4 linked regions of the Schizosaccharomyces pombe genome follow. The gene in region 2 interacts genetically with the main gene of each other region. Each region holds a gene or a part of one and is shown on either strand. Other genes may lie near its edges.

Region 1 (4,565 bases), 680 kb from region 2:
AAGAATATTTTTCTGCTGCTTTTTAATAGGGCTACATCCAACTGAAGATTAGTCTGCCAACCTAATCTTCAAGTTTTCCATTCTTCACTAAAAGCTAATGTAACCTGTTATTAATTGATTTAACATACTAATTATAAAAAGCTGACATCTTAGCTACACACTAAATTATTATTATTATTATTTTTAAATTTTTTTAAAAGCACAAAATGCAGCACATGTAGCAAAACAACGCTATTTTTTTTTTTTGAATTGGGTTTAAAAAATAGTTTACTGTATTCAATCTCAACGGGTCTGATTGCATTTGCTTACAGTTCTATAAATTACTTACTTTCTAATTTTTATTTCATTTAAAACTTACTGAAATATTCATTCGCTTACTATGAGTTTATTTTACATTACGAGCTAAGACGGTGTTAGCTGACCTGGTTGCTTCTATAACTAAACAAATGTATAATGAACAAAGACTTATATACATATATTGATTAAATATTTAAAAAATATCGTAGCTGATAAAATTGTGATGGGTTCTTTAGCGACAGCAAAAGCAAACCTCTGAACTTTGTTATTAAAAAAATGCAACAAATTCCACTGGTAAGAAAAATATCTTCGAATGATCATTTGTTTAGTTATGCTCAGCAAAATAGTTTTACTTTTTTCAGTTTTTTGCCTTTTTTATTTCCTTGCAGTGTTTCCTCTATATAATTGTATCTATTACATATCTATATGCTTTGAGGGTGTAATTATTATTTTTATTTAGACCATTTCAAGTTTCATATTACAAGATTAGGAAATATGATTACTGGCTTCGGTTTCAATTGGTTCATCAAATTCATATTTTTTAAATATCAACAACTTATTAAAGAACTAATAATTGACCAGTTTCTTAAAACGGGTGATATAAAAACTTTTAATAACTGATACACTATGTCGATGCCGTATTGTTTCCCATTTCCTTTTGTCATTATACTGCAGTTTGCGCAGTTAAAGTGATTGAACGAAAGTATACACATAATAGATTTACAAAATGCTGAAACCCATCACAAGGAGTTGATGGTTGAATCTGTGAAAGTCCTGTTAAATGTAAAAAAATATAAACGACAATAGATCTCACGAGACTGGCAAAAAGAACGATTAAGCCAATTTTAAAATACCGCCGGCTTCCAGTTAATATACATAGCGCATCCACATTGCTAAACAAAACTACCCATTCTACGACGGTTGCCGCTATAGAAAGGTCGTAGTCCCAAATTACCATGAAAACGGGTAGCATTCTTGTGCTAGAAGAAAGTATTACAGCGCCAGACGCAGAAGTCCAAGATTTCCAACCCATTGTTAGGCATAATAACAGAACTACTGAAATTTGATACACAGTTGTCTCAACCAAACATATTAGCAGTAAAGTCAAGTACTGCCGGATAATTGGCTGGGAGAGAAATGCTTGGGCAGGTGTGAAGTAGGGGAAGAGGGCTGCGCGTTTTTCTAGTCGTGACCAAACTAAAAAAACGTTGAAAAGGGAAATTAATATGCAGAAATTGACAACCTTTGCGCATTTTGTCAGCTATTTAAAAAGCCATTGAAATGAATAAAATACTTACGTTACGAAATGTTCGTGCCGACAGAGAATTAAACAAAAGATGACGGTAAACTTGCGGTTTCATCAAAATTACATCCATGCTGATGAGAACAACATCTAATTCAATGTATTTGTCCGCAAACTGTTTGCAGTTTTTCTGTAACATAGTCGTTAGTTTGAAATTGTACTTAAAAAAAACTAAAGAACAAGTCGATCTTAACGATTACAGCAAGACTACGCATTCCACTCTCAGTATTCATTAAGCAAGATAAATGGAGACAAAAATTGAATGATCGTCATTTGCTTACAATAATGTAAATTATATTTGAAGAGAAAAATATTCATGAAGCTTCTTTTCGTCGCCGTTGGAATGGACTTGCCCTTAGCTCCTTACGATCAAGTTGACTACATCAACGAAACATATTGTGTGTATATTACTTACGCATTGAGCTAGTCGAATATTACTGGTACCCCTTCCATAATATGTGTATAAAGAATCGACTTCCGCGCCGCATTCGACGCATTTCATGGTGACGGGTGGTGGTGTCAATGTATTGAGGTATGTTTATGAACCAAACATTCGTATTCTTGGTTGACATGTAAAAACAATGAAGATATATAGAATTTAAAGAAAAAATGAAACAAGTAAGCTTATCTTTATTTGCATAGAAACATAAATACTAAAACTTATCCCAGAGTTCTACCAATTTTAAATTTTATTTGAACACTACCCAATTCCGTTAACAGACGAGTTGTAAAGCCAAAAAACCACCAATGTCAAACCTAAATTTTACAGTTCTTCAATAATATAAACAAATACTGCTTTCACTACATATTTAAAAGATTTGCGAAATAACCACGTCGATTCCAGCATAAAATCACTAACTCTCAAAACAATGCAGACTGACTGGAGCGAAAGAACGTAGTATAGACTTAGTCACATTTACAAGATTAAGCGTCTATTAAAAAGATTTTACAAAGGCTAAAATATTCGTAGAAATGAGAAACGTGAAAACAACATTCAATTGATTGAGCAATTTAAAAAAAGGTAGGTTTTTACTTTTCAGTACAACAAAAAAAAGTTTATTAGAAAAAAAATGTTAAGAAATAAATTTTGTACATGAAGCCAAATGCTGAATGAAATTAAAACAACGCTGAAAAAAAAAACCAGTCGACTGCGTAAAATGTATAAACGCATTTATTAAATGAGAAACCAGGATGTATTAACACAGCAAAACATACATCACAGGTAAATTAAATTTTTAATTAAAAGAATAATAAGTACAAAATGTCAAACAAAGAAGTCGTGAGCGACACAGGCTTGTCAAGCAACGAAAATAAACATTAAAAGAAAACGGAACGCAATCATGATTGTCTCATGAGAATTAAATAATAGAATATTAAACAATGCAGAATGGAAAAAGTTCTTTTTTAATGTACTCTTTTCTCGAGGCAAGATAAAAGGTACTCCGTTTGAACAATAACAGATGTAACAGAAAGATCATACTTTCCAGGAGCAGCATCAACTCTTGTAACAATTAGACCGATGACATGTTGAGTGTTTTGATCAAACCAAAGTGTTTCAGGTTGACCGGGTTTTATCGAATCAAGCCAATCCCGGCGGACACGAATAGGATCTTGAAAGCAAGAAAATATATCGGCTTGATGACGATCGCAGGAAGAACGAGACAAGGTAACGTGAATTCGAACATTGATATGGGGAGCAAGAAACTCCCCAGGGTATCGTTCAAAAGAAGCTAGATCCTCGTCGTCCTCAAAGGAGATTTGAAAAATAGAGGAGCAATTGTTAGGATCCAAGTGGAATACCGAATAACCATCATATTGTAAAGAATACAAACCGCGACGGGCAGACAAGTTGCAAATCGGTGAATCGGTATAGACATCCTTTGCAAAAACGCGAAGTGAATATTCGTCTAAGAAGGAAAGACGAGCACGAATGATCTTGTTGGCAATCAAAGTCAATGGATAACTGGCGAAGCTAGACTGGATAACGTCGTGTGCAGGTAAATACTGCATGACCGAGTCAATGACTTCTACTGGAAGCAGAGTAGAAGATGTTTGTTGAGCGTCGAAATTAACGTAGGAATTAGGTTGAAGGGCAGTCTGGGGTACAGACATGGGGGCTCTAGTAACACAGCTCATTTTTTACCAAACCAAAAAAAAAAAGGTAAGAAATAATTTAAAAAAAAAATCGGGCAATTAAGCTGAATAAATAAAGAGAATATAGCACCGATCGATGGAATGTGAATGAAATGAGATGATGGACGATTAACAAAACAAAATATTTCTATTTCGACCTATTCAAACCTCGATATGCGTTTCTATTATGAAGGAAAAAAGACAGTAAATTGTAAACAATTAAAGAATTAAAATGTCTAAACAAACAAGTAGCTCAAAAAGACGGAATTCCAAAATTAGTGAAAAAAGTAAATAAGCAAACTTCTTTTTCTAAAGCCAAGGAATGACTGTCAACGAGACTAGCAATGGGGAAACCTTGCAATTGAACGCTTTACGTCTCACAATACAAGCCTTGGTTTCTGCAGAATAGATGAAAGGAGATGCTCCTTTTTATAAACTAAAAATTTGGCCTTTTGCCTCCTCTCCCAACTGCCGATATCGTAATTAGAGTTGAAATAAAAATGTCCATTTTGAACCTTAAAGAACGAATGAACGAGCGCCAAGCAGTTATTCCATCAAACCGGATCAACTAAAAATGGCGCGAATGGATCTTGCTACTTTGAAGAGTGGAGATTGGTAAATAGTTAAGCGCAGGAAAAAGTTAGTTCATTCACTTGACCAACGAGTGCAGTATAAAGAAAAAACACTTTTCACTTTTCTTTAAACGACTTACGAAAATCATTTTTTTTTTTTTTTTTTGTTTTCAAACTTCTTGTTTTATTACCACCACCAACTTCTGCCAAATGTTCTGTACCACAAGTCCAGATCTGGATGATACAAAGACTCCTATTAA
Region 2 (6,731 bases):
GAAGAAGTCAATATGTTTAAAAATCTTTTTTTTTTCACGTGTATTCAGTGCGAAAATCGATACTGAAACAGCAATTTCCAAAATTCCTTGAAAAATTCGTTTAAAAGGTTGGTGGTGGTTTTTTGAAAACAACTCCGTGCCTACTCAATGTATATACAGTCCTACTTCAAGCGTATCGGTGTTCATACAATTGCGTGATAAGACGCAATACTGCAATACAGACACTGAAGGAAGCTACCTGAGGTAACATATTTTTGCAGGTGTACCGTCCAATGAGGTGGGTCGCAATCTAGGATCCAAGTCTCAGGTGTTGGCATCTAAGCAGTTTGTGAATCTTACGATGAGTTCCCCAGCTTTTCAGGAGAAGCAAATTTCTCTCAAATCTCCTTAACACGATTACTTCTCTGGATTATACAACCTTATTATTCCCATCGCCTGAAAATTACGGATCATTTTGTAACGGGGCACGCAATACTGTAAGCCAACAGCATTATTACGTGGTATTGCGTGGAATGGCATTAATTTTAACGCGCGCTTTGATTAAGGTGGTAAGCACAATCACAGAGATCTAAGGCAAGCGACAGATGGCTCAATATTGTCTCGGCTAGGGGTTAGAGTTATTTCGAGCGAGAATGAGAGTAATTTACACGTTGTATGCTGCCATATCATAAGAGTGTTTGGGTCTAGCCGGTGATCAGTTTTTTTTTTTTCCTTTCCACAGTAGAGAGGGATTTTTGGCGTCATCTCGTACTATGAAATACTCTTGTACTTTGAATTACCCTTGTACTTTGCAGCACTTGGAAAGCTGTCCACTATTTTCATAACCAAGCAGAACTAAAACCCAACATATACTGCTCGTTTTCTAAACGTCTCACGAACTAATAGCCAGCTAAGACACTTCAAAGTACGATTTTGAATATATCAACAAAGATTTTATTTATGACCCCCATATCTTTTTGTAGTACCAAAACAACATATCTAATTAATACATTTTATATAAATAATAAACAACAAAATTATTAACGACCTCCCTTTCGTTGCTTTGAAATCCTCCACTCATCGGGTTTTTCAAATCGATTGTACAATGGTAGCACCTTGAGATTTTTCTTGGTTTTGGAAACTTGATTTGCATTGGCAAATTTAAAGAATGTTGGTGCAACTTCCACAAGCCATTTTGGATTCACTGTGCTTACCGTGTGCATGTATTCTTTTGACGTTTGAATCAGTTCATGGTATATCACCCACTCTGCAGCTTTTCCAAATAAAACTCCACTAGGATGCATGTATACAGGAGCATTCTCCACGATCGTTTTGTAACATCCCTCGTGAGAGTCTCGCTTGGCAACATTGGTAAAGTAGCCAGAACACAAAGCCCGTAAAATAAGTTCTCTCTTTCTTCCACATGAAACAACTGGGTGTCGATACCGATCCATTAGGCGAATAAGCTGTTTGCGTACATCTTCAGCTCGACGCATACCACGGGCTTGGATATAATGTTCATAACACCAATTATCTGAGCAACGATTCATTTTCCAAGTCGTATACACATTAAGTAAGGTTAAGTGATCACTCTCAGGATTTGCAAATTGTGCTCGTTGTCGATCAGCTTCTTGCTGCTTCTCCCTTGGTCGGCTCCAAATGTTAGGTACGCTAAGCATGGCAATAATACTCAACATTTCTTCAGAGCAACCTAATTCTACGCTAGTAATCAATACTTTTGACAATTGAGGCTCCATCGGGAAATCTGCCATTTTTCGCCCAAGAGGAGTCAGCAATCCCTCATCGTCCAAGGCCGACAGTGCATACAGATTTTGCAAGGCGGCTATCATGGTTTGAGCAGGTGGAGGATCCATAAAATCAAAATTCAAAAGGTCGTTAATTCCCATTGCCTTTAACATCAAAATAGTATGCGACAAATTTTGGCGTTGTATCTCAGGAATCGGGGAAGGCAACATTTCGTTTCGGTAAGCGCTTTCAGTATACAGACGATAACATTTTCCGGGTCCTGTACGCCCTGCACGACCACTTCTTTGCCTAGCTTGTGCTTGAGAAATTGGCGTAACTATTAGAGAATCCATGCCTAGTTTTGGATCAAAGCAGCTCTGCTTGACAAACCCAGGGTCCACCACATAATAAATTCCATCAATTGTTAAACTAGTTTCAGCAATGTTGGTTGCAATTACTACCTTACGACCTCCTGGGGGAGCAGGTTCAAAAATACGACTTTGTATTTCCGAAGGAAGCGCTGAATAAACAGGTAAAATAACTAGCTCAGGAATCGAATCTCCTAGCATTTTACTTCTTTCATATAATATTTCACAACTAGTATCAATTTCTTCTTGACCTGTCAGAAATACTAATATATCACCAGGTCCTTCGCTCAAGTGGATTTGCATAACAGTCATCAAAGCAGCATCAAGATAGTCGGCTTCTGGTTGTTTTGTATACATGATTTCGACGGGATATGAACGCCCAGGAATCGTAAAAATTGGGCATTTATAGAAATAAGACGAAAACCGCTCAGCATCTAGCGTGGCTGAAGTAACAATTAGCTTTAAATCTGGCCGTTTCAAAACAGTTCCCTTTAACAGTCCAAAAAGTACATCAGTTGCAACGGTTCTTTCATGTGCTTCATCTAAAATAATTACAGAATATTTGGACAAAAGAGGATCAACTAAACATTCTCGTTGAAGCATACCATCAGTCATATATTTAATTTGGGTCATTCTACTGGTCTTATCTTCGAAACGAATAGTGTAACCAACCTCTTCACCAACACGACATCCCACTTCTTCTGCTACACGTTTGGCAACAGACATTGCAGCTACACGCCTAGGTTGAGTACAACCTATCATTTTGCTATCACTGGTATAACCTTCTTCAGCAAGATATTGAGTGATTTGAGTGGTCTTACCGGAACCGGTTTCACCGAGTAGAACCAAAATTTGGTTTTTTGAGACAGCCTCGAGAAACTGTTTACGAAGTTTAAAAACTGGAAGACCCTCTCTTTGCTCTTTCATGCTCAGTGTTGTTCTTTTACCGTAGGATATATTTGCATTTCGTGTTGCTTGACGCCAGCTGGGAGTTTCAGAAGTAAGTTGACGAGCAGCTGAGTCTCGCACATCTTGGGCAAATTTCCGATCCTGAGGATTCGACATAGTGTCTTGCCATGAGAGGGATAAGTCTTGCTTTTCCATTTCTTGTTCACTCTTTAATTTTGCCTCCTTTTGTCTTATTTCTCGTCTATCATTTGCTAAAATCTGCCCTTGCATTGCTGCTCTGGACAATGAACCATCCGGGGCCTTTACAACTTTTATAGGAGATAGCTTTAATGAAACTTTGGTTTGTCCTGCGAGAAATCCAGGTTCTTCTTCACGAAGTTCGATTTCTACGTCTTCATCATCTTCGGGATTAATTTCCGCAGCATTATTAGTATTGAATCCATCGTTGAGTTCAGGAATATCCGTAGCGGAAATTGCACCGGATGCAGCAAGTTGCTGTAACTCCCATATTTCAGGTGATGTTAAACGCTTCCGACCGTTTGAAGTGAACGTTTCAAGTGGATTCACATGTCCAATTTCAGAATTTTGGGCTGATAATGGAATAGCGTTTGCTCCACTACCCTTCTTTGTAGAACGTGAAACTTGATCCGGATTCAAATCCTCACCTGTAACTTGATTCACCTCCTTCATTGACAGGCTGATTCGCTTTGCTGATTCATCAATTCTAATAACTTTTACAAATACAGGTTGTCCATAGCTAACAGCCTCTGAAGGATGATCCAATCTCCCATTTAATTGGATATTTGAGATATGAACCAAACCATCAGTTCTCTTTCTAAAGCCGTCCAAAGTTACAAAGGCACCAAAGTCCTTAATACCTGAGACAACACCAGAATAAATTCCATACAATGTTGGAGCATTTAGCAATGGACCACGCGATGATCGACTAGAATGTGATTGACCAGAAATTGAGGTACGTGAATGATGCGAAAAACTGGGACTAATTGATCTCTCTCTACGTTCCCTTATTCCATTGAGGTAATGCCGCTCATCCCTCCTAGAATCCCTATCGTTTCTCCTTGTTTTGGCCAACGTCGAAAGTTCTTCCAGCTCGTCCATAGCATTATCCATAAGCGCTGGTCTATCCCTTAAATTATTCGTGCTATTTGGGATGCTTAAGCCAGGAAACATCTTTCTTTGGTGTTGTTTGTCAACATCTTTGCTATCTAAATCATGCGAAGCTCCATTGACCGAGTTACTACCATTATTTACATTATCAGTGGGAATGTCATCTTTAGGCTTAATTTCCTTAATTAATCGACTTATGTTTTGAAGGAAACTGTCGGTGAATTCTCCTCCACATGAAAGGACATTATTTTTAAACTCATCGTAATTCTTAGACTGATCATGCAAATTAATAATAAATTCTGCAAGAGTATTATCGTCAATTCCTAGATTTGGTTAATTATTTATAAAAAAATGAGTATTAAAGCCTACTACTTACCAGTATGATTTCGAATTTCAGAGGCAACTTTAGATACCAAGGATAAATACTCCAATTCTTTCAGATCGTCCATTATTGTCTTTTCTCCCACTAGGATTCACTAAAAATTAAATCGAAGTTTGAAGAAGACTTTCAAAATTGCTCCATACCAAACATAGGTGTATGGTTAAAAATGAAACGCGTGCAATAGACAATCGCGTTTCCTAACTTTGTACAAATAAATATTCATGGCTGTCAACGCAACGAGTTGCGCCAAAGGCAAATAAGGTAGCTGAATTACAGTTCGTTATAATAATGTCGAGGCTCTACTTATTATTTGAACTTTGAGTCCGTGTTGTTTACAATAGGAACTGGGGTGAGTTTCGTACCTTATTAAGAAATAATTTTTGCAACTTGAATGTTTAATTACTGTCAAAGTTTACGTAAGGTATTTCTAGAATGTTTTAATGGCTAAATCAATGACAGGGCGTAGCGAATATAAAAATATATAAGTCTATCTACAGTTTTCAACGATTGATACGTACTGAAGTGCTTTTTGCAAGTATGCTTGTACACTTGACATATTTATTACCTATGCAAATCAACGTAAATACTTTAATAGCGCTTTTCGAAAAGTATCGATCTATATTAATACAGTACTACGGCACCTCATATGCTAATAGATTTATGTCATTTGTACTGTATTTTAAACACAGTATTTGCATGCATTGTTACAGAGCCTCTGTGATTAACTCACACGTAATGAGCATTCAAAACGCATTACTCTAAATGTCTACAATATAATAACCGTAAAAATGGCTCAGAAGTTCTGAGAGTCATTTCATATCTCTAGATAGTCTCTATAACGTTAAGCTTAATTAGACTAACGGTTCAGTTGCAAAATTACTGGATACATCAAAAGAAAGCTTTTGAGCAGAACAACAATTGATAAATAGTGTCAACACCCCAGAACCCAATTTTTCCTATAGATAAAGAAAAACACACCAACAAACACACATTATTTCCTAATTCCCGGAATCCCATATAACCTACTTCTAACTGATGGTGACGACAGTGGCTTCTTCAGTAACTTCAACAGAGTCATTCATGTCAGCTAAGGCAGATTCAGCGTTAAAATGAGAAAAGTTGCTCCATTCGACTTCCTCACCAGACTGAATAAATTCATCCAACAAGCCAGCACTGGCCGCAACCAATCCAAAAATCGGTGGGGAGGGCTTAAGTGGCTTAGATAAATATTCAGGATGGTATTGTACGCCAACAAAGTAAGGATGGTCACGTTTCTCAATAATTTCCATACGCTCACCACGTTCATCTTTTCCGATGAAAGAAATTCCACCTTGTTCCAAACGGCTTACAAACGCAGGATTTATTTCATATCTATGACGATGTCTTTCCAAAACTTCATCAACCATCTTATGAAGTTTACGAAGTTTACTCCATTCGGAATTGGGTTGGAAAAAGGTAGGTCTCAATCCCAAACGCATAGTTCCACCCAGTTTATCCTTATCAATCTCAGGCATATAAACAACAACATTGTTTTCGCATTCCTTATCGAATTCTTCAGAAAATGCACCTAGAAATGTTAGTTAAAAATCTTTTGAAAGAAGCAAAATAAAAAATATGCTCCAATTAATAATAACTGTTTAACTATTCATGTAGCACTTGTCTACAGTTAGAGTCAACGGAAAATGACAAAAACCTCTAGTAAGTGCATGGAATCTATAGATCCCAAAAATAATAGAAGGCAGTTAAAAATTTAAAATGGAGTCCAATAAAAGCATCAAAAAACATACCTTCAATTCCACAAACACTTCTCGCGAATTCAATAACGGCAACTTGCATACCAAGGCAAATGCCCAAGTAGGGTGTATTATTTTCACGAGCCCACTTGGCTGCGGCAATCATCCCTTCGACACCGCGAGAGCCGAATCCGCCAGGCACTAGGATACCATTGGCAGAACAGACTAAATGCCATGCCTTATGGTAACTAAGTGGGTCACTAGTATTTGTACTAGCTTCCAAATGAGAAGCTTCTACCCATTGGAGGTCAAGTTTACGACCACAGCGCATAGCAGAGTGCTCCAATGCTTTGATGACTGATATATAGGAATCTTGAAGATGAGTGTATTTTCCTACGAGGACGATGGTGACCTTCTTGAAAAGATGATCGTATCCCTGTGTTAAATGTTTCCACGAGCTCCACATATTCTCGCCTGCGAGAGCGA
Region 3 (3,775 bases), 730 kb from region 2:
TCTGAAGAAACATCAGTGTCTATATAAGTTTGGACTTCATTGTCAAAAGGTTGACCTGCGGAACGAGTCCTAGCAGTCGTAGATGAGTAAAACCGAATACTCTCTGGATCACTTATCCTGAAGCTTGAAATTAAGTTAACAGAAAGCTTTTGTTCATTCTTTTCTTTTGATTTCTTCAGTTTTTCGGCTAATTTTTCCAATCCAGACGCCCCCAGCAGACATCTCCGTTTATTAAGCTGCTCCGCATTCTCTTTCTTGATGTTTTCAGCCATTTCGAAAGAGGGAAGCGCAATTACTGTCACTGAATTGTTTTCTACAAACCATTTTTTTAACAATTTTAGCCAGTCCTTTTCTTCCCATTCCTCTAATAATCTATTGTACTCCAGCATCTTTAATAAGTTAGGAAGATCTTTACCTTCTCGACTTCCGTAAACATGATCCAAAGTCAAAATTTTCATAAAGAGAGAACTAGGGAAAGCCTCTAGATTTGTTAAGTATTGATCGCGTCGTGTTTTTAAGTAATCCTTCATACGATTCATGTCGATTTGCTTAGTTTCGGCCAAAAGACGTAAAGCACGTTGTTCTAAGCCATTAATTTTTTCTAAAGGAACGCTGTCAAAAAACAACTGAATAGAACAAGGGACACGGAGTGAGACATAAAAATAAACAAATGAGCAAAACGGGTCTTCAATTTCAACAAAGGTCTGCCCAAATGGGGAGACGGCAGATTCACTCAGGAATTCACAAAGTGTTTCAATAGCAAAAACAGTGTATGCATCTAAGGCCGAGGGTCCATTCCAAGCTAAAGAAACAGATCCAGTATATTCGTCTTCGGAAGAAAATTTAACAGTTTTCAAAATTGGCTCAGGAATAGTGTAATCCACATTAGTTGAACACCATGGACGCGTCCACGTAGGTGGAGTGATAATACCATTAGCTAAAATTTCCTTTACGATACCAGAGGCACAGCTTAGAAGCCTTGATTCGTTAATGCACCCGGTCACAATTAAACAAATATTGCTTGGAACATACATTTCCTTATGATATTCTCTAATTTTCTCGATAGACAACTTGCGAAGTTCGCTGGGATGACCACCAGTCTCATAATAGTAACCACTGGTAACTGGATATTGACTAGTTCTCATACAATCAAACATAACATCCGTCTCTGAGCTTTGAGTATTCTGCATTTCAGAATAAACAACACCGGACTCTTCTCCCATACCATTTATATGATAAACTTCTGTGCAAAACGCTTCATCGCTTAGAATTGGAGACAAAATGTGATCTGCAAATACAGGCAACAGACGAAGAAATCCATCTTCCTCAGCAGCAGAAAGCTCATATGAAGTATAATCAACATCGGTACAAGCATTGATATCACCACATGCCCTGCCAGCAAATTTTGTAAGAATGCCATTCATGGGATACTTTTTACTGCCCATGAAACACAGATGTTCAAGGGTATGAGGACAGCCAAGATTATCGTGAGCTTCAGTTGCTACTACAAATGATCCTTGTAATCTGGATGTTGGAGTTTTTACTGAAGCGACGCTGAACCCAGTTGCATCGTTTATCCATTTGTTGACCGTGTAATTCAATATACGCTCACTTGAGATTTGGCGAAATGATGTGTCATCAGAAAGCATACTTTAATAAAGTTATCCAAAACAGCAAAATCGAGCAAAATGAGCAATACAATGTCCCGTTTCCCAACGAGAGTGCTGTTGACTTTAATAAAAAATCCTTAACAAGAGAATACAAATACGATGTTTAAGGATTCTCTATTAAAGAAATTTAGAATTACCTCTATAACAGCGTAACAACTAAGTAGTAGTAAGAAAATGGTCAAGAAATTTCATACTTTAGTATGCATAAACTGTATAGACGAGGTAACGTCGTTACTGTTCAGTTTGGTTTGCAAACACCTCCTTAATAGAATAAACGTTCGCTATTAATGAATAGGTTTGAGATATGTTCAAAGATAGTTTTGTGTTATTAATGCAAACATACTAGTTGTAAAAAACGGATTTATCATATGGTAATTAAAAAGTGATTTGTACCTCAAAATGAACGAGCAATGTACTCCTAGTCCAACTATAGGTTTTTACACTTGTTAACAAACAACCAGTAGATGCATTTATAAATTACCTTTCCTAGGTTTTAATTAAGGAAATTAAAAAGTCTGCATCTTTTGGATGATAATAGCAAACCTATATATTTTGCAACCACTATGGTTGCACAATACTTAATTTGCTTCTACCGTACACTATCTATCTACTTTAAATGCTTTGAGTTTTAAGAGTTATGTCTTTGGTAGCCTACGACTCAGAGGAAGAGGAACAAACTTCGTTAGTAAATGAAAACAATGATATTAAAGGACGTTCTGAGGAACCCCATTGGAAAATCCCAAATTCTCCTAAAGCTGAAGTTGACACAGAGCTGGAGAAAAAGATAAAGCAATTTATAAAATTAAAGGCAAAGGGCATTCATTTTCATACGAGACTATCAGAAAATGAAAATTTCAGAAACCCAAAGTTACTTGATAATTTGCAGGATTTTCTGGATATTAAGGAGCCAAGAGGAACTATGATATCTAAGGATATGTGGGATCCAACGGACTTTCATAAAAACGTCTATGCATCCGCACTCTCTAAATCACAGGATGAAATGATTGCCAGGCGTGAAAATTACCAAAAGCATGATAGAACTGAAATTAAATTTCAAACCTCTCAACATCCTAAATAAATTTGAGTATCAAAAGATAATGTGTTTGTAAAAATAATTTCGTTACCGAATATATATAAGACTACTTAATTTAATACCTTAGCCTGTTATGAATAAATGATCCAGAAATGCCAATTTTGATAAGACATTTATATGGCTAGTAGCTTAAGTCATTAGTTTACCCTAGTCAATTTTCAAAAATAATAATTGTTATTATAATAATTTTAACTACCGATAGAACAAAAAAGCCTTTCATGAAGAGAATCAGAACCGTAAATAATAAATAGCATCACTTTTAACTATTCGAAATTACTGATTGAAGAAGTTGTCGGAGCCAATTCCTGCAAAGAAACCAAAACTAAATGCAAAAACCTCCGAAGACTCCAGTAGCCAACTTTCTGAATTCGTTTTCTTCGTATCTCTTGATTTAATACATCTCGAGCAAACGATTCATACACCTACATCAAAAATTAGTATTTATTAATATTCAAAAGCGTAAATTACTCTTAAATTTTAGGAAAAGACGCTCTTTTATAGTAAGGAACAGGGTAGAACTTACCTGCGCCGAAATTTCTTGTAAAACACCACTGTCGTAAAAAGTCCAGCTTCCATCAAAGTCAGAAAGCGGTTTTGATACATGACAAAGAATAGGGATGAATGTCCGTGTGGAATTAATGTAAGCAATAATAGGTCGAATTAAAGCATTGTTGATATAGCTTACTTGATTTGTAAAAATAGGAATTACGGCTTTGGGATTATGTAATTGCACATTAACATCAAAGTGAACGTCTTTGTAAACATCCTCATCTTTTTCTTTCTTTTTCAATTTGTCCATCAAACTTATCCACGCTTTTTGGAAAGAATTTTCCGAAGGTTCTGATGGAAAAGAAATATTAACTAAAAAATCAACACTGCCATCATTAATCCATCCAAATGCTCCCGAAACACCTCGATTTAGATGATCGATTGCGACATTATCAATACGCAAGCGACTATGTCGCATATCATCGAGTTGTTTACCGACTTTTAGGTACGGTGAATATGGACG
Region 4 (5,405 bases), 3.2 Mb from region 2:
ACTATAAACGAAGACAAATGTCCGAAGGTGGTCAAAGTGCGAACCGCTTAACGAACCTTAACACAACAGTGTCAAGAGAAAGCTTCGCATGTTGAAAATTTTAAAAAGACGCAGAAAGGATACTTTTGCAGTAGCAGCAATAGGTCGACCAAAATACTGGCTCATAGAAAGTAGTAGTATTATATTTATGATGCTAAAGAGGTTGCTAATTAGGATGCAAGCGATGGGAATATCAAAGAAATGTAATAAAGAGTAGTAGGGACAAACACTCAAGAAATAGAATTTTATTTTATTTTTTTATATTTTATTTTTCTTTAGTAACAAATGGAACTCTGGTTCGTTAAGTGAAAACAAAAAAAAAAGACACGTTGGCATAAAATCGACTCACATTCATCAATCAAGACCAACTTTGAAACACATTATACTGCTACTACTACTACTACATTACAACCGTTGTGTTTTTGTTTTACAACTACCAATCCAGTCAATCCCCCACATAGACCAAAATCTCCCACACACGTGAACCCCAGTCCAAGTCTTCACCAGTCCCCTCCATCCCACCCTTTCCTAGTCTTAACGCTCACCCTACCCCCATAAGGATCGAAATCCCCCACTTTGCGACTTTCAAAGTACTGGGCGGAAACTGGCGTAGCTAATGTCTAAGATGTCAGCGTAGGTGGCGAATTTTAGTGTCTCGGGTATATCTGTTTACACAAGCGTTTGCTACTATTACCAATTCCTAAATACAGAATAATGGTTTAACCAACCGCTCGATAAACTCTGTTTCCCATTTTTTTACTCTCATCGCTTGGCCATGATTCGCTTCGCATGCATTAAAGTAATTACGGCACATTGACGTAATAAACCTTATTTTGAGGTCGTACGAAAAGAGCCCAACTCCTCGCGGCCGTAGTGGACGTGCGGGTCAACAAACCAAACTAAACAAACGCTATCAGAAGATTAAAGTTTCTTTTGTTATGCATATGTATGAAATCCCACTTTTGTTTGTGTATCAACGTTTATGCTTGGTTATTCAACGTAATGGCTTATCTACGTTTATGCTTTCCATTCATTTATCCACGTTAAATGCCGCACGTAACGTACCATGATAAGAGATGTTTTGGTAGGGAAAATTCAAAGGGCCCAGGGCCGAACTTCTCGTGTTGATGGGGCAGGAACGTGTGAGAAGGGAATTCGCCATAAAGCAGAGAATACTAACAGTTACCAGTGGGTCGAAGCTAACAAAACCAACAAGTTGAGCAAAGCAAATGAAAAGCGAGTTTGGGATTTTCGGAGAGCGAAAGAACATGGGGTTTCCTGCGAAAATGACCCATTTTGACTAGATTAGCCCAAGGTGCTCCCATTTTCTCAGCGCATCGCATTCTTTGGGAAATAAGAGAAGGAAGAAAATTTAAGAAGCGAAAGCGCACTATGCAGATGGCGCTAGAAGTTGCTTTGCTTTTTGCTACTAGACTAGACTAGGTTGGCTGGCATCGGAGTTTCAACGTCGTTCGTCTTTCATCGTTCCTCGTTTGTTAATATCAAATTTTCGATATAGTGAATTGTATTTCCGAGTATGCAATTCCCTCTAAAGCATATTACTATTGCACAGTGAGATTTGGGAGGGAAGCTTTGCGTACGCTAGCACATATGAAATCTTGTGATTTTTGAGGGTGTCTCTTCCTTTGATTCGCCAAAATTAAGCATTGACATCATGGGGTAAGGTGTCCTGTTTTGTCATTCGTCGTTGTTTGAATTAGATCATGTATAGGAAATCATTCGTCCAGGTGTCGGTCTTTTGTGTCACCATTAATCAGTAGGAGTTGGAGCTTTGTTTACTAATCATCGTATAAGTCATATATGATTTTTACTATAAATATTGAATTCGCCCCCCTTTGCAGTTCACTGAAATAAGTAGAACAGCACGGTCTTTTCGTTTCTACAACACGCTTGCTATTCTCTTATTAGTATATTCCTCTATCTATAGTCTTTCCTTCACTTCCTACATCCAAATTGATATAGGTTTCCTTTGTGGTATTATTACTAACAACGACAATTGATTGTTTTAATTCATTGATTTTGTCGTCTTTCGGTTTTTATCACATTTTATAAAAACTGCATCCCCCTCTTCTTAAGAATAATAAGAGGCCATTGTTTATTTACCCCGGTCCTTTTCTGACCATCTAATCTTTTCGTATTAGGTGCTCTTTTACTTATAGTTTGGTTTCGCCCATAACTTTTTGACGACGTTGTTTACTTTGGTTGATATAAAATTATTTTATACAATCGTTAACACCTCATATTTTCCATTTCATTACTGATCTTTTGGTTTTGTCCTGTGTTTGCATTTCAATTCAGCTCTGCCAAATTTATCCCACTACTTCATTTTTTATCTTTGGTTTTTTTTTTTTTCTAGTTAATTTTTTAATTACTCTTACTCATTTACGACAACGACCCCTTTTCTCAATTTTTTAATACAAACTTTTCAAAATGTCTACAAAACTCGTTGATCACGTCGAAATTACCGTTCCTACAGGAAAAACTTACATTCAACCTGTCGGTCTCTTTATCAATAACCAACATGTCGATTCCGTTCACGGTGGTCGTGTGAAGGTTTACTCTCCTTCTACTGAGAAACTTATTTGTGAGGTAGCTGACGCCGACGAAGAGGATGTCGATATCGCCGTGAAAGTTGCTCGTGCCGCTTTCCAGACCGATGCTCCATGGCGCAAGTTTTCCAGCGCTCAACGTGGACGTTGCCTCTCCCGTCTCGCTGACTGTATCGAGCAAAACTTGGAATACCTCGCTTCTATTGAGACTCTTGACAATGGTAAGAGTATCACTTTGGCTAGAGGTGACGTTCAAGCTGCTGCCGATTGTTTCCGTTATTATGGTGGTTGGGCCGATAAGGATTATGGTCAAACCATTGAAACCGACATTAAGCGTTTTGCCTATACTCGTCACGAACCCATTGGTGTATGTGGTCAAATCATCCCCTGGAATTTCCCTTTCTTGATGTGCGCTTGGAAAATTGCTCCTGCCGTCGCTTGTGGTAATACTATTATTTTGAAGACTGCCGAACTCACTCCTCTTTCCGCTCTGTGTCTTACCAAGTTTGTTCCTGAATGTGGCTTCCCTCCAGGTGTCATCAATGTTCTCAGCGGTGATGGTCGCCGTTGTGGTAACGCTATTAGTTCTCACATGGACATTGATAAGGTGGCCTTTACCGGTTCTACCGGTGTCGGTCGTATGGTTATGCGTGCTGCCGCCTCCTCCAACCTGAAGAAGGTCACTCTTGAATTGGGTGGTAAGTCTCCCAATATTGTTTTCAACGATGCCGATTTGGACTCAGCTGCTGTCTGGACTAACTATGGTATCTTTTACAACTCTGGTCAAGTCTGTTGTGCAGGTAGCCGTGTCTACGTGCAAGAGGATGTTTACGATGAGTTCATTAAACGCATGGTTGCCAAGGCCAAGACTTTGAAGGTTGGTGATCCTTTCGCCGAAGATACCTTCCAAGGTGCTCAAGTTAGTAAGCAACAGTATGAACGTATTGTTAGTTATATTGAGAGTGGCATTGCTCATGGTGCCAAATTAGAGATTGGTGGTAAGCGTCATGGTAATCTCGGTTACTTTGTCGAACCTACTATTCTCTCCAACGTTACCGAGGACATGGCTGTCGGTAAGGAGGAAATTTTTGGACCCGTTCTTGCCGTCATTAAATTCAAGACCATCGAGGAGGCCATCCGTCGCGGTAACAACAGTACATATGGTTTAGCTGCTGGTGTACACACTAACAATATTACCAATGCCATCAAGGTCAGCAATGCTCTTGAAGCCGGTACTGTTTGGGTGAATTGTTATAACTTACTTCATCACCAAATTCCCTTTGGTGGTTATAAGGAGAGTGGCATCGGTCGCGAATTGGGCTCTTACGGTCTTACCAATTATACTCAAACAAAAGCTGTTCACATCAACCTGGGAATGGATTCTCCCATTTAAGGAAATCAGACGCAAATATTTTTTGTAAAAAAAATAAAAAAATATGCATTCAATGGATAAAGAATGAAGAAAAACTCTAGTGAAGAGAATTATTGGATTTTTCTCTTTATGTTATGAATGTTTACAGTTTTTCTTGAAACTCTTCTATGACGGATTTTCTTTATTATGAATCAAAACGGTTTTGATATTTGAACTTTCAAATGCATTTTATTGAATTTACATAGTGATGATTCTTTATGTTAGTGGTACTTTAATATATTCATTTTCGTTAATTGCTAGATGATTTTATTTGCAGGTAAATATAGCCGTAAGTTTTACTAAAAGAACGGAATGGGGATGTTTTTGTGGTACGCATTCCTTTGGGGAAACAGATTGATTTGTATTTAATTTGCGAGGATGTGGGTGCGGGACGGGAAAGAACAACACTGAAGAAACAAGTATCATTATTTCATTTGAAAAATTAGGGAAATAGATTCATCTGTTTCATTATCTAAAAATTAGTGTACAACTGCTCCAGCTCTTCGGGAGAGACGCAAACTTCCAACAATTCTGTAGTGAGAAAATACATTTCCTCACCCAAATTGCCAAACGCTTTTTGTTCAGTATCGCCGAATGCGCAGCATGCTATTGCATAAACGAAACGAGGTTGTAACGCATTTTCAGCTAACATAAATTTTGATGATAAATCTTCGGAAGATAAAATGTACAGAAGCCGAACAAGAGATACTAAAATCTCTACGCATTCATTTTGAGGGTACATTGACGAAAGGAGTTGCTGATGATACCAAGTGATGGCTAGTCCGATGCATACTATTAAGGGATTGCATACTTTTAAAATCTCTTTACCAATGTTTCCAGACATTTGTATAAACACGGTAAAAAAGGATATGACAAAGCGATGAAGCGTTATCCATTCATTCTAATTTGTTAGAAATAAGCAATGCAAAGATTATAAGCACAATTCGTAAACGTACCAATTCAGGAAAATTAATCCTTTCCCTAGTAGTAACAACTAAAATATGGGCCATAGTTGTGAAAAGTTGCATGAGTGATTCTTGGGATTTATCATCGGCATTTAACAAGTTAACTGAAGCGCAAAACGAAGGAGTGGTGGAACTAATAATTAAACAAACACCACATTTAATCAAAGAAGGAGCATTTTGCACTCGAATGCAGGATTCGAATAACGACGGATCAACCGCTTTAGTAATGTTTGCAAAGTCATCAGCACTTTCACGTGCTATAGATAAGTATAAATAAAGAAAATCTATTAAAACGTAAAACTTTGAGTCCAAAAAATTGCTTTTTTCGTATTCCTTAAGAAGAAAACCACTTATTAAAGAAACGACATTTTCCTGAAAGATAAAGGTGGATGATTTAGGGTCCAAAATTAATAATGCATT

Evidence for each region.
Region 1: mutations in prp22 (region 2) and arv1 together harm fitness more than expected from each alone (negative genetic interaction), as found in Schizosaccharomyces pombe (one large-scale study listed by BioGRID).
Region 3: mutations in prp22 (region 2) and mug151 together harm fitness more than expected from each alone (negative genetic interaction), as found in Schizosaccharomyces pombe (one large-scale study listed by BioGRID).
Region 4: mutations in prp22 (region 2) and atd1 together harm fitness more than expected from each alone (negative genetic interaction), as found in Schizosaccharomyces pombe (one large-scale study listed by BioGRID).

What each region holds. Positions count from the first base shown.
Region 1 is NC_003424.3:1,890,091-1,894,655, reverse strand, and holds arv1 (Arv1-like family protein Arv1), read right to left. Parts: upstream 2,113-4,565; 5' UTR 2,103-2,112; coding exon 2,016-2,102; exon of another isoform or gene 1,731-2,015; coding exon 1,596-1,730; exon of another isoform or gene 1,541-1,595; coding exon 962-1,540; 3' UTR 810-961; downstream 1-809. Other genes in the region: pof15 (F-box protein), read right to left, coding at 3,005-3,736. UniProt on the Schizosaccharomyces pombe protein: Mediator of sterol homeostasis involved in sterol uptake, trafficking and distribution into membranes. Also regulates the sphingolipid metabolism.
Region 2 is NC_003424.3:1,205,906-1,212,636, forward strand, and holds prp22 (ATP-dependent RNA helicase, spliceosomal Prp22), read right to left. Parts: upstream 4,675-6,731; 5' UTR 4,580-4,674; coding exon 4,507-4,579; exon of another isoform or gene 4,454-4,506; coding exon 1,020-4,453; 3' UTR 907-1,019; downstream 1-906. Other genes in the region: CTP synthase Cts1, read right to left, coding at 5,541-6,079, 6,300-6,731. UniProt on the Schizosaccharomyces pombe protein: Acts late in the splicing of pre-mRNA. Required for the splicing of introns with a branch nucleotide to 3'-splice site distance greater or equal to 15. Mediates the release of the spliced mRNA from spliceosomes.
Region 3 is NC_003424.3:1,933,050-1,936,824, forward strand, and holds mug151 (transcriptional regulator HCNGP-like protein), read left to right. Parts: upstream 1-2,264; 5' UTR 2,265-2,307; coding exon 2,308-2,748; 3' UTR 2,749-2,909; downstream 2,910-3,775. Other genes in the region: sdd3 (metallopeptidase), read right to left, coding at 1-1,649; protein Mdm31, read right to left, coding at 3,027-3,185, 3,287-3,775. UniProt on the Schizosaccharomyces pombe protein: Has a role in meiosis.
Region 4 is NC_003424.3:4,452,157-4,457,561, reverse strand, and holds atd1 (aldehyde dehydrogenase), read left to right. Parts: upstream 1-1,904; 5' UTR 1,905-2,490; coding exon 2,491-4,002; 3' UTR 4,003-4,282; downstream 4,283-5,405. Other genes in the region: ATR checkpoint kinase regulatory subunit Rad26, read right to left, coding at 4,493-4,921, 4,977-5,405.